Linked DNA regions of Nothobranchius furzeri. The protein of the gene in region 4 purifies or fractionates together with the protein of the main gene of each other region. This does not show direct contact. Links are inferred from orthologs where the notes say so. Each region holds a gene or a part of one and is shown on either strand. Other genes may lie near its edges.

Region 1 (2,458 bases), on a different chromosome or scaffold from region 4:
AGTGTAACTTCGGACCGAGAGGTCGAGCGTTTTCAACCCTTTGGAAGAAGAAAAAAAAAAAACACGGATGGCACGAGCCAAGCGAGAAGGTGAAAGCTGCTCGCTGATTGGTCAATCGCAGCACGGCGAGTCTGCTTGGACGACTCCCATTGGTTGAAACGTTAAAGGGGCATTTCCGCTACTTCAACAAGCGTTTTCTCTCCTCTTGAGGCTAAAATTACTTTACCAAATCGATTGGTATGCTTTCAGTAAAAGCCCACCGGGGAAATTTAATCACAGTGTGGGATTGAGTCGATCTTAAAGCCGCCACATTTAATTTACCCATCTTTTCATTAGAATCATATTTTGTTTTGTTTCTTTCAAAACGTACATTGATATACTCTTGATGTATTGATGCCTGTGTGGAGGTGCTACAGACTTAAGTAAGGCTGTCAAAACACAATCACAATAACATTAAATACCCACAAAGATCCAGGGATAAGTAATGAGAAACTTACATAATTAAATACATTTGAATGTATGAAAGTGGGGATAAATCATTGCCATTTTCACTGACTACAAAATCATACTTTCTCTGAATAGTTACAAAACGTTTATTGTGAGTTTTTTTGTTTCAAGTTGTTTGTGAAAAAAAAAGAGTGGATGGACACTGCCAATAGAAGAGTGTGTCGATACATCTCTGAGCTGCGTGTTAGTGCAGTGACGAAGTTTGGGAAAGAAAACATAGCTGCAGGGGATCTATTAACCCCACTCAGACACATTTATGCAGTGGTCTTCTGCAGCAGCAGAGCCTGCATTCACTGTTTTAATGTTGAACCACAGGGAAAAAAATTGACAGCTGAATCCAACATCAAATGCATTTGGTGCACAGGCGAGTCCAAAACCAGTCCCCAATAATGTCACATTGCTTTACTTTCCTGACTCTGCGAGGTGCCCAGAAAGCACCGGAAATTACAGTGATGAACCAACAGGAAGCCAAAAACAGAAAAGGTCCAAACCAACACATCCTTCCCCTGCTGTGACACAGCTGCACCAAAAACGAGTTGTTCAAAGCTCAGCGGGAAGAAAAATATGTTGTCTTACAGGAAATTGTAAAGCTAATTGGGTTTACAAGTGAACAAAATGCTTCAGAGTTGCATTCAACTAGCTAATGAAAGATAAAATGAAATGCCCAAGTCTATAATCTACTAAGGATACGACTAATGAAAGGTGGATTTGGACATCCATGTTTACTGTTATGATTCAAAAACACATAATTTAGGACTTTTAAGCAGCTTTCCGTTTAACATAGCAGTTAAACAGGTGACTGCCTCTACATCAACAGGAATAATTATGCCCTTTTCTCTGTGGTCAGGTGCTCCACACCATTTGTGCTCTTGAAAGGCATCTTTTCCCAGTTCTACAATATTTTGGCCTCCTCACCACCACATACAGTCCGATTTTAAACCCGTCCCTGAGTCATGACTGTCCACCACCTTCATCCGTCTCTGCAGCTGCCTTTTCCTGCTCCGGATCACCGGGCAGGTGGTCTGAGATGGTCTGGATGAGCTCCTCAATCTGCTCCTCTGACAAACGCTCTTCACTTTCCTCCACCATCTACACAGAGAGAGGGCAACGAAGGCCACATTATAGAAATAGAACACAAGGAAATGTTGATCCATCAGCTTAAAAGATCTGGGTCCGTCTTCTGGATTTCTCGCGGAAAAACCTTCCAATAAACTCTGTTGATGTCATTGGAGAAGAATCAGATGGTTCATGGCTGCATTATTGTTTGAATTCTCACTAGTGACACAGAAATACCATAATCCAGCTTTTCTGTGGTTTCCTGCTTAGCAAAAAACCAACAGAAGTCATGTTTAAACATCTGCACACCCATGGGATTTTAAATGGGGTGAAACATTTAGATAAAAGAATTATTAAACACAAATAAAATAACATAAAAATATCAGAAGAGTGTTTTAAAGATGCCCTATTCTCAGGAAAGATTAAAACAATATTGTTTTTAATATAATTTTCAATATTTTAAAGAAGGAAAAAAAACACCCCAAAACCTCATAACCACAGCAAAGGCAACTCAATTTATCACAGACTTATTAGAATTTCTAAGTAATTTACAAAAAAGCTACACCTGTCTTTACTTAACATTACTAATAAAGCAAGTTGTGTATGTATGGAGTCAAATTGGAGCAACGATTTGAGAATATCTGGTATAATTAAAGAAGCAAAAAATATCGGCTTAAACACCGCTGCTAACCACTTAAACATTCTCCCTCTCCTGATAATAACATTTTACTTTCTTTGACATTGAATGTGCTACTACTAGTTTACCCGTTTAATTATAGATTAACTAGGATAAATACAATAAAGTTTGTCTCTCAGCAAATAGAATAGTTACTAAGAAATCACAATGTAACCATAGACACATTACTTGGTATATATGTTTTGTGTGTGTGTGTGT
Region 2 (2,954 bases), on a different chromosome or scaffold from region 4:
GAGCCGTACCATCTCGGACTTTGTATGCTAGTGTTAGCGGTTAGAATTTGATGCGTGCTGCTAGCGGTAGCCAGTGGAGCTCAATGAACAGAGGGGTGACGTGTGCTCTTTTAGGCTGATTGAAGACCAGACGCGCCGCTGCGTTCTGGACCATTTGAAGAGGTCTCACAGTGCAGCCTGGAAGACCAGTTAGAAGGGCGTTGCAGTAATGGAGGCGGGAGATGACGGTAGATTGCACCAGGAGCTGGGTGGCATGTTGTGTTAGGTATGGTCTGATCTTTCGTATGTTATACAGCACAAAGCGGCATGAACGAGCAACAGAGGCAACATGATCTTTAAAGGTCAGGTGTTCATCAATCACAACACCCAGATTTCGAACTGCCTTTGAAGGCGCCAGATATAGATTTTGGATTGAGATATTGTGCTGTATGGATGGTTTCACTGGGATGACAAGTAGTTCAGTTTTAGAGAGGTGGAGTTGGAGATGGTGGGATTTCATCCATCTTCATTTGTCAGAGAGACAGTCCAAGATTCCTGCAGATTTTACACCAGACTGAACAATAACTCATCTCAGCATCAAACGGTTCACACGAGCTGCTTTATTAAGACTGATAAATAAAAAAAAGAAAAACTGTGGATCACAGCAGGCTGAATGAAGTTTCCTCACAGAGAAAAGAAGTGGGCCGAATAGCCATCAGAAGTCCAACCACTCGGTCATGTAGATGCAGCTGGACGGAGAGATTTCCCCTCCCTCATGACAGTCATCAAACACCTGCAGACAGGATCAGGTGAGTTCAGGCGCGTCCACGAGCAGGATGCAGCCATGTTAATGAGTGTGGTTACCGGGCAGAGTCCGCAGGGCGTCTTGACGAGGCCGGTGGGCTGCAGGATGGGGTTCACGCCCCTGTACAGCTTCATCTGCCCGTCCACGCTGCCCACCGTCCCCTCCTTGGCGGCAATCACGGTCATCTCCACCTTCCCGTCATAGATGAGCGTGTTCAGAATGGTCTCGATGTCGTCCATGGACAGATCCACCTGGACACACACCTGTCAGACACACGGACTACAGCGAGCGTGATGTGTGATTGGTGGACGTTAGCAGTCACCTTACTAATTCCAAGCTCGCAGATGTACTTCCACACTTCATGAGAGGTGGCGAAGGAGCTGTTCCGCTGAACCATCGGGCTCTGATTGCTGTCCCTCGCTGCGTCAGCCTTAACACACGGAACACCACGACGGTCACATGACCAGAACCCACCTGTTCCTGAACAGCATCATCCAGACCAACCCAGAGGATGGGTTCTGATCCGATCATTTGGTCATTTGGCAGAACTATCAGGTTCTGGTCCAACAGTTGTTGTCGTCGGGAGGGTTCCCCAACAGAACAAAATGACCCAGAAGAACCTCAAAGGAGTATTGATGGAGGCTGGCTGAAGCTTCACGGTTAAAGAGCTTCCATCGTTTCTTTAAGACCTCTTTTAAAAGATAAGATCCTTACATCCCATAATGCCTTACTAAGGAACTGAGCTCAGAGACATGAGGTCAGGTCAGTGGACCTTCAGGAGGGAGATCTCTGCTGCCCTCTGGTGGTCCGTAATGACCTGAATAAACTTTTATTACCACACGGCTGTTCCAGCGCTCTCATAACAAAAACAGAGTAAGAGGACAATTCAGTTGTCTGTCTGTCCCGCTGTCTGGGGGTGGGGTTCAAACCTGCTCCACACACCTCAAGGGACAGTGCTGGACTGCCCTTTCCCTCTTGACCAGCTTGATTAATGTCCCCTTGACCCTCTCTACACTTCCACCAAACATAATAAACCTCATAAAAGGACAACAGACGCTACCACAGAGCTGTAGAGGGTCCATAACTGAGTTCAGTTCACCCCAAAGGAGTAGGTGAAGACGACGAGAGAGAGAGAGAGAGAGAGAGAGAGAGAGAGAGAGAGAGAGAGAGAGAGAGAGAGAGAGAGAGAGAGAGAGAGAGAGAGAGAGAGAGAGAGAGAGAGAGAGAGAGAGAGAGAGAGAGAGAGAGAGAGAGAGAGAGAGAGAGAGAGAGAGAGAGAGAGAGAGAGATCCTTCAGGCCGGTTTAAAGTCAGGCACATCCACGGATACCCAAAGTTCAGTCTCGGGGATGAGAGGTTTGTTGCTATGATGCTGCTGCTAAGCCAAGATCATTAAAAGGCTTCATTTAGTTTAACTTAAAGAGCAAGTCACCCCCTACCAGAGTCTAACTCCACTCCCACTTCCTGTTTGAAAAATGCAACAAATGCTGTTGCCTAGCAGACCGAGAGGGCGGAGCCGCTAACTAATACACACACACACAGGCTCACAACAACATTGTGACATCATATGGTACCAGCTAGTGATGTGTCGGTCGCGAACGAACCGGCCCTAAGAGCCGGCTCATCATTGGGAGCCGTGCCCCCCCCCCCCCCTTCCCTCTTGCTTTGGTGAAAGCTACAGGCGATTGGTCAGCATGTGTAACTGTGTGTCCAGACTGTCCACACACAGAGCAGTAGGGGCGGGGAAGAGGGAGGATCAGACTCAGACACACAGCAGAGCACATGCAGGTGGAGGGAGACGAGAGGGAATGAGGAGGAGGAAAAAGGTGAGAGAGAGAGAGAGAGAGAGAGAGACAGAGAGAGAGAGACAGAGACAGAGACAGAGAGAGAGAGAGAGAGAGACAGAGACAGAGACAGAGAGAGAGAGAGAGAGAGGGGAGAGCGCGACGAAGACGGTGAGAAAATGAGCGCCAGCAGTCGGAAAGTGGAGATTTCTTAAAGTGTTCAGTTATTAAATCCATAGAAATGATAAATATTTGATATATTGCTTTTTTTACATTAGTAAATTATTTTACATATAGTTTATCATCATTTTGGTTATAAATGTACTCCACGCAACAGAAAATCTGAGGAGCCACTTGGGAGCCGAAAGAGCCGGCTCTTTTTGGTGA
Region 3 (3,799 bases), on a different chromosome or scaffold from region 4:
TCGTACACAAAAAATGCTGAACGCTAACTAGAAATTCATGAAAATTTTATAGAAATAAAAGAATCTTGTTTATTGGGTCTTTGAAAATTTAAGACCTCTGGAAAATGTATTTAAGTATTATTTGTAATTTTTAAGGCCTTAAATTTGGAAAAGCTAATTTAAGACCTGCGGATACCCTGGACGAGTATGGCAGAAAGCCCCGTTGACTTACATCGGTAGCGGCGAGTGCGTCATGTTGTTTGATATCCAATAGCATGCAGAGACAGTCTGGAAGAAAACCGTAGACCCAGGCCCACTACTGAGAGCCGTCAACGGGCCGTGTCCAGACTATATATTCACCTATAGAGGATGGCTTCCCAGGCTAGGGTTTCTCATAACCAGATGTTTAACCTATTCACTGCCAATGACGAGTAAATTCGTCATTTGCATGTTTTTACTGTGTGGGCATCGGACGAGCCCCCACACCGTGAGAACAAACACCTCAGCTCTAAAGCGGATCTTCATCCGTATACGTCACACGTCACGTGATCAGGAAGCAGAACATCCATGTGTTAGATCGTTTTGGGCCGCTGCTGTAAAAAAAAAAGTGAGGCGCGAACCGGAAAAGCTTCTGCCGATCACAATTCAACAACAGATAATGAAAGAACGGATAACGCTCGAAACGCGCGGATTCTTCCTGATGTAAGAGGTGAGTCTCCGCTTTGTTTTGGTTGTTTTGGCGTCAACGTCATCCTAGCGCGCAACGTTCTGTGGCTTAAAAAAAACTGTAAAAACGGTGAGAAACGCTGGCAGCGAATGAGTTAAAGCTCCCATTTACTTAAAAGACAAATAAAATATCAAAATCTAATTCAGTCAAAATACTGAAAACATGAACTGAGCACCAGAAAGAGTTTACAAATACCCTGAAATGGTGACTGCTCCCACAGTTTAATCATCTTTACGAGAGCTGATTTTTAATTTGTCTGTATGATTCTTACAATCAGAGTGTACGGTGCCTCCTTCTTCCCCTCGCTGGCCTCTGCTGGCGGCGCCGTTGCCTGCCCCGCTTGTGCCGGCGCGTCAGACGCAGCTACAGCAGGGCCTGTTGGTGACGTGTCCACGAAGACTTGATCCGCCACCCGGAAGCGGATCTCCTCCCCTTGGTCCATGTAGAGGTCGTGCCCTCCCTCATCCGTCTCGTACTCCCAGACCCAGACCTGCTCCGCTTCATCACTGGAGTTACGGCTAAGGAAGGCTCAACCAACCCCAGATCCATAAGACTCCAGTCACACACTCAGCAAATGCAGTAAAAACAAAACCACTGTGCTTCTAACTCTGGATACAACTTTGCAGGCTGCTGGAGAGACTCAGGAGGGATGAGAATATCATCAAAGAAGCCCATGGTCACTGTGAAGCAGCAGAGTGAGAAGCTCCTGTTGAAATCTGGTACACAGCTGTTAAAGCGTTTACTGTTAAAGGATATTTTGTCATTCTTGCATCAGACATGAAAGAAACAGCGTACCTGGAAAGCAGAGGATAACAGTAAAATAACATATAATTGCAGCAATGACTAAAATTCCATATATATAAGGGATGTGTATTGGTGAAATTTTGGCAATACGACAAGTATCACGATATAGGGGAGACAATACAACATATCACGATACATTGCCATACAATACGATATCAGCAATTTTTTTAGACAGAATTTTTTGTAGGAATATTGAATAAACAGTCCAAACTAGGGCTGGGCGATGCGACCTAAAATCAGTGTCACAATATATTGAGAATTTCACCTCGATAACGATAAATTGGCGATAACTACAGGTATGCGCAGAAACAAAAGTTGTCCACTAGATGGGGCTGTCACACGTATTACTTGAGTCACATTTTTACGTGACTCAAGGTGGTACAGCTTCTTAAAGGGATGTGAACGTTACCAACCTACACATCTTTTCATTTCTTTATTATCGAATTTATTGACACGGGAAAAATGATCACGATAAGAGTCAGAAATTTTGATAATGATAAATTTTCGATTTATTGCCCAGCCCTAGTCCAAACTGATACTTAACATTTTTAATGCGAGGTATCTGAACCATAACAGAGGGATTTATATTTCAGTGGTGGAAACAAAACACATTGCACACTGCTGCCAACTAGCGGTCTGCGTTTAAATTGCACCAAAAGAAAAGAAAATACACAAATATTTGCATGTAAATTCTTCCAAAAATTTGATACATGGATTTTGAATATTAATATAAAATCACAGGATAAAATATCACAAAATATTACCATATCGATATTTTCGATATACATCTTTTGAATATCAATACAATATCACGATATATTGCCATATCGATATTTTCTTACATCCTTTAATGTGTGTATATATATATATATATATATATATGTATATATATATATATATATATATATATATATATATATATATATATATACACTATATATATATATATTTTTTTAATTTGTATGATAAATGATAAAATCATCTAGGTGTAGAAATTCCATCATGGCTATTTTTCAAGTGCTTCCATAATTTTCTTTTTTATATTCCTGCAAATGTGTTCATATTAAACACACACATCTATGTTAAAGTATCACAATATTAAAGGTGGAATATTTTGCAAAACTCACATTTTGCATCTTTTTTTTTTTTTTTTTGCTGCCATGTGGGTCTCTACTAGGGATGTCCCGATCCGATCACATGATCGGAAATCGGCCCCGATCACGTGGTTTCAGACTGATCAGGACTCGGGCTTTACTTCCCGATCCAAGCCCCGATCCGGAGTTGGATACTGGCTTCAAATTACAGGAGAGCAACTTGGTTCTCCTTAATGGTTGTCAGGCTCACCTGATGCCCTTAACTCACACACCCAGAAGGAGCACAAAAGAGATCCAGTTTGTACCTATATTATATTATTTACATGGACTCAGAGTAGCGGGGATTCTTTTGGGGCAGAGATGCAGAGCGGCAGGCAGACCGCTGATTATTTATGGACTCCAGGTGTGTTCTGCACACGGCCACAGTAACATTTTCTAAGTTTCTAAAGGGCCTCACCAAAAAATATATAATTAACACACAGTCGTTTGTGTCCGTTCATTTTCTCTCTGGTAAGTTCTGTCTGTATTTGAGCATGATGTGTGGACGCGCTCGCGCCGCAGCGCTCGTCACTGGCGCAGCCGTGCAGCGCGGCGCTCACTCCGCTTTTTTTGTGGTCAATAGATCAATTTGATCTGCTAGTTAAAAAGTTACTTGTGAGGTGAAAAAGAAGGAAGCAGGGAGGAGTTTGTCTGGAGGACTGGATCCACCCCTCACATGCAAGAAATAGTTGCTGCTGAAGGAGCAGCGGCTCTCACCCTGGATTCTCATGTCAGTTCTCTTGTTCGCTCTTTCTTCGTCCATCTCAGGAACATTGCTAAGCTGAGTCCCATTCTGTCCCGCTCTGAACTTGAGACAGTTCTCCACACCTTCATCTCCTCACGCTTAGACTACTGTAACTCTCTTTTCACGTGTCTGAGCAGAACCTCCCTGAACCGTCTACAGGTGGTTCAGAATGCCTGTGCTCGGCTTCTGACCAAGTCCTCCAAACACACCCACATCACCCCGCTTCTCCTCCAGCTTCACTGGCTGCCAGTCAACTTCAGGGTTCATTTCAAGATCCTGGTTCTGGTCTATAGGGCCTTACATGGACAAGCACCATCTTACATTGGTGATCTTCTTAGTCCCTACACCCCCAGCAGGTCCCTGAGGTCCAGTGATCAAAGCCTACTGGTTGTGCACCACCAGGCTAAAGAC
Region 4 (4,455 bases):
GTCCATGTTGTCATCACTGTCTCCTCCAAAGTCCTCTCCATTCTCAAAGTAGGACATGATGTAATCCGTCTCCTGCAGGACAAACCGATCAGTTAGAGACCAGTACTCACAGTGAGACCAGTTACTTTTTAAACCTGCTACCCAGCTATGTCCCCGCCCTGTTCAGCCAGAACGGGTCAGAATTCTGTACCCAATAGACCCTTTTACTACCTACGTCATCAAAAGTTGCGAGCGCAGCCTGGCAACGAGAGTGAAGGCTTCCTCATTCACACTCGATACTAAAGCAGTGTTTTAAACCCTTTGTTTTGAAGTTCTGAGCACATAAAATGTCGGGTTGTTGCGTGTATGGATGCCAGAATCGCTTCTCTCCAAGTAGTGGACTGAAACTTTACAGAATTCCGAAGGGAGCACATCCATTTCAACAAAATCGGAGGTGTCTGTGGCTGCAGGCCATCAAAAGGGTTGATGAAAACTGGACTGAAAACACGATCCGAAATGCTCGAGTTTGTAGCGCCCATTTTATATCAGGTAAGGTAATTATGTACTAAGATTACACCAGAAAGCTGGTTAACGTGTGTTCTATTAAATAAAGTAAGTTGCGCTTGCTGGTTTGCTTTTAAGCAGTCTATTTATTTTTTAATTAACATTTCATTCTAATTCATCTGTATTTTCCCACTGCATATTAGTATAAACTGTATTTCTCTAAAATTAACACGATTGTACTCTGAGCACGCTAAAAAAAAAGAAACCTAAGCTATACTCACCCTGCCATGCAGGTACAGTTGGCTGTGAAGACGTAGTTCTCTCGTTTGTTTACTATGACCCAAGCCTCGTACATAGCAGTCTTGTGTCCTTGTCTTTGGCTAGGAAGGACTTCTGCCTTCAAGACGCAAAACTCAGAGTCTATGTCGTGATATTTTACTTTCTGTACGTGGCCACAGACAACATAGTTGTATGCATCTAACGATTTGTATGCCCGTAGCTTCTCACGTGTGTACTTACTGGGCCTCTCCACTAAAAACGTATATATATCGGGCCACTGGATATCTGGCCACGCACCTACATCTTCCACCCATTCCGTAATGCCACAGGGATCCGGGAGTCTGTTGCCATTCGTTAAAGTGAGTTTAATAATATAACATTCAAGATTTGCCGGTGATAACCCCGCAGCGTAGCTTGATAAAGCCTGACACAACGCCATTCTCTGTTGCCAAGCTGCGCGAGCATTCTCGCTGACGTCATATTGTTTACAAACAGTAAAAGGGTCTATAAACGCTCCTCTTTGGTATGTTCTTGCTGTGTTGCTTTTCTAACTGCATTGTTGGTTCTTCTTGAAAACACGGAAAAGGTTTATTTTTACCTTGCTGCCAGCAAACCGGTTAAAGTTACCCTCGCGGTCTATCACTGGCAAATCAAAAGTGAGACGGATGACACAACCGCCCCCGTACTTGCTTGTTACCACATTCCAGAGAGAGAGAGAGAGAGAGAGAGAGAGAGAGAGAGAGAGAGAGAGAGAGAGAGAGAGCGAGAGAGAGAGAGAGAGAGAGAGAGAGAGAGAGAGAGAGAGAGAGAGGATTTTGACAGCACTTTTTTCTGACTATTCCAACTGACGGATTTCCGTCACCCCGACGGAGAACTTTAATCCCTGCCACACCCACACCGGGTGTCACCTCACCTCTTCAAACTCTTCCTCATCGTAATCCTCCTCAGCCTCAGCACCCTCATCCTGCTTCTTCTCCATCTCTCCTTCCCCCTCAGAGCTCTCCTGCTCCTCCTTCTTCTCCAGCGTCTGCAAGTATGACACACACAGGTCACGTCATCGGTATGGTAGGACAGCAGGTGGCTGAGACACCTGCTCCACAGGTGAGTCTGACAGATCTGGAATACGTTATTTTACCTGTGACCTGTTTCCCAGACCAGTCCAACTCACCTCCAGCTTCAGAAGGATCTCCTCTCTGACCTTCTTCTTCTTCTTCTGTATCTGCTGACCGCTGTCCCGGCAGCTGAGCAGCGCACCTTAACAAAAACACATTTTACCAGCAGCTAACACAACCTGGCTCAAATTACTGAGAGTAATCAGATTACTGACCATCACCGGGTGCTTTCCTGACGTGGACTCGCAGTTCTCTGGGGAATCTCTTCCAATCTGAAACGACTAATCAGCATTACTCCTGATCAACACATCACATTGGGTTCTCTTGGTTACTGTGGTTACAGATATTAGCATTCATGGTCTCACCTACAACCCAGTCCTTCAGCCTGTCAGTCTGTTCACTGATGTGATATTTATCTGAGTATCGCTCCACATCTGACAGGAAGTGCAGAGGAGAACTTCACAATAAGAGAGCAGTTACATCTGATAAGCAGTTAAGTGGTGATTGTTGGTCTCACCTCTTTGTGCCACTGCTGGTTGGATAAAGCATGGAAGACTCCTCATGGCTCCCCTGCAGTCCTGTTTCAGAGCCAACAAATACTCTGCCTCTTCTCCACCTGTTAGAGGCAGGGGCTTCTGCTCCATCACCTGGAAAACATTAAACTGCAAATCCCAGAATGCACTTGATGCCAAAAAAAATAAATACACAATGTCTGCTCAAAATAAAGCCACACGTGACCTAAACTCCAGGTGTGACTGGGTTCAGGTGTAGTGGGGTGGAGCTTACTGGAAACACAGGTGTAGGCTGGTGAATAGTTGGAGGAAGAGATTCTCTGATGCCGACTGCATCCACACTGAAACTCATCATCCTGTGGCCACGCCCACGACCTGCCATCTCTATTGCCTCTCTAAAGCAGACCAGAACCAGAACATGAACGGACCCTCTGTGGCGGATGTGGGTAGGGATTTTTATGACCTGTAGTGGTGGTGAGTGGTCATAGGCTGGCCCTCGCTTGTGAGAGGAGGGACCCTTTGGTCTTGACCCGGTTAACGCTGGGCCACAGTTGTCTGCGGGGTGGGTTGTTTTTTATTAGGGGAGCACCCGGATGGTAACTGTGACTGTGGAGAGTTGGAGAGTGTGAGATATGTTCTTCAGCATTGCTGGCGATATGCAGGAGAGAGTGGTCCTCTCTTGGGGGCCCTTGGTGTGTCTGTTTTCAGTTTGAGGACTTTGTTGGTGATGACGGACTGTCGTAGGGGTGTAAGGGCAGACTGTGAGTGGGAATAGGTGCTGACCCATCAGCATCTAGCCTGCCAGATCCAATGAAGAAGACCCTCTGCAGCCCGGTCAGACGTGGTGCTGAATCTGGATTCTGACAGAACAAGAAGGCTGAATGTTAGCAGAGATGTGGAGACAAGTGACCAAATGTGATGAAGGTTGTGGAGCATCATGGAGAGGATGCACGTCTGAGATCGAAGAGATGTTAGCTGATGTGTGACAGGAAGTCTGGAGCAGGAGGAGGATGCTAAACTGAAACCTACTAAAGAAAGTCCTTGTCCAGACTTCCGTCCGTTGGATTCTCTTCCTACTTGAAGCCAGCGTCTTTCATTCCGGACCACCAATAGTTCTGGTAGAGCTTGGTGTCCAGCTTGTTCCTGTTGTCTGGGTCAACATGGCCCCCTATCGGAGAAAACCAAAGATTCATAACAGCTTTTCTATATAATTGATCCTTTAACCTCTCCAGAATCCCCAGGTCCAATAATACCATACAAACAGAACCAATACAGAACGCCAGGGTTCTGGTCATTGGGCTGGTCCTGAACTAGACTGGACCTTCAATAGGTTCTGCTCCAGATTATCTCACCCGGCTGAGAATACACGCCCCCACGCAGTTCATCAAAACGACGAGTAGCTCTCGGTGACCCGGTTGGCTTTGTCTGACACGGTCCAGCGACGGCTCTTCCGGGATCGTTCCGTTTTAGGGGTCACTAAGCGTCGTCTCGCCTCTAAAGCGACAATTCATCTCGTTAGAACCTGAGGAACATTCACGTCTCCACGGTTCCGTCTTGTTTTGGACCAGACCGAACTGTCTGTTTACATCCGGCTTCGCGCCGTCTAAGTTCTTCTTCTTCTTTTGGTGTTTTATTGGTGGTTGGCAAACAATGAATGGTGCATTACCGCCACCAACTAGTGTGGAGTGTGGTCTGGAACAGCGCTCACATAACCAAACCAAACAGGGGGTTAAGACTCAAAGTCTCCCAAACACCCTTATCTCTTTCAAAAACCGAAATAAAATCTGATAACAGTCACTTTTTGAATTCTGTCTCAATAAATCAACAAGATCCAGTTTCACTTTCATCTGACTAAGAGTGTGAACTTAGTGACAGTGTAATATAACATGATCTATAGTTTCGTCTTCTCCACAATAATCACATTTCCCTGTATTATGTTTCCCTATCATGAATAATGTATTGTTTAACCCAGTATGTCCAAACCTTAGTCTAGCAATGATCACCTCCTCTCTCCTACTCTTTCCAGTGTTTCTCATTAGGCCCGAGCAGCGAAAGCGCTGCGAAGGCCT

Evidence for each region.
Region 1: the proteins of polr3glb (region 4) and crcp purify together in Homo sapiens (co-immunoprecipitation; 3 studies listed by BioGRID and IntAct, counting the BioPlex papers as one, with this or other methods). This does not show direct contact. The link is inferred for Nothobranchius furzeri from reciprocal best matches to the Homo sapiens genes POLR3GL and CRCP.
Region 2: the proteins of polr3glb (region 4) and polr3f purify together in Homo sapiens (co-immunoprecipitation; 5 studies listed by BioGRID and IntAct, counting the BioPlex papers as one, with this or other methods). This does not show direct contact. The link is inferred for Nothobranchius furzeri from reciprocal best matches to the Homo sapiens genes POLR3GL and POLR3F.
Region 3: the proteins of polr3glb (region 4) and polr3h purify together in Homo sapiens (co-immunoprecipitation; 4 studies listed by BioGRID and IntAct, counting the BioPlex papers as one, with this or other methods). This does not show direct contact. The link is inferred for Nothobranchius furzeri from reciprocal best matches to the Homo sapiens genes POLR3GL and POLR3H.

What each region holds. Positions count from the first base shown.
Region 1 is NC_091750.1:56,805,397-56,807,854, forward strand, and holds the end of crcp (DNA-directed RNA polymerase III subunit RPC9), read right to left. Parts: intron 1,597-2,458; coding exon 1,459-1,596; 3' UTR 580-1,458; downstream 1-579. UniProt on the Homo sapiens protein: DNA-dependent RNA polymerase catalyzes the transcription of DNA into RNA using the four ribonucleoside triphosphates as substrates.
Region 2 is NC_091746.1:29,572,730-29,575,683, forward strand, and holds the end of polr3f (DNA-directed RNA polymerase III subunit RPC6), read right to left. Parts: intron 1,215-2,954; coding exon 1,107-1,214; intron 1,036-1,106; coding exon 844-1,035; intron 773-843; coding exon 695-772; 3' UTR 580-694; downstream 1-579. UniProt on the Homo sapiens protein: DNA-dependent RNA polymerase catalyzes the transcription of DNA into RNA using the four ribonucleoside triphosphates as substrates.
Region 3 is NC_091752.1:65,981,006-65,984,804, reverse strand, and holds part of polr3h (DNA-directed RNA polymerase III subunit RPC8), read right to left. Parts: intron 1,387-3,799; coding exon 1,323-1,386; intron 1,213-1,322; coding exon 978-1,212; intron 1-977.
Region 4 is NC_091745.1:58,816,350-58,820,804, reverse strand, and holds the start of polr3glb (DNA-directed RNA polymerase III subunit RPC7-like), read right to left. Parts: upstream 2,959-4,455; 5' UTR 2,769-2,958; coding exon 2,661-2,768; intron 2,522-2,660; coding exon 2,392-2,521; intron 2,309-2,391; coding exon 2,240-2,308; intron 2,156-2,239; coding exon 2,090-2,155; intron 2,017-2,089; coding exon 1,931-2,016; intron 1,790-1,930; coding exon 1,676-1,789; intron 73-1,675; coding exon 1-72. UniProt on the Homo sapiens protein: DNA-dependent RNA polymerase catalyzes the transcription of DNA into RNA using the four ribonucleoside triphosphates as substrates. Specific peripheric component of RNA polymerase III which synthesizes small RNAs, such as 5S rRNA and tRNAs.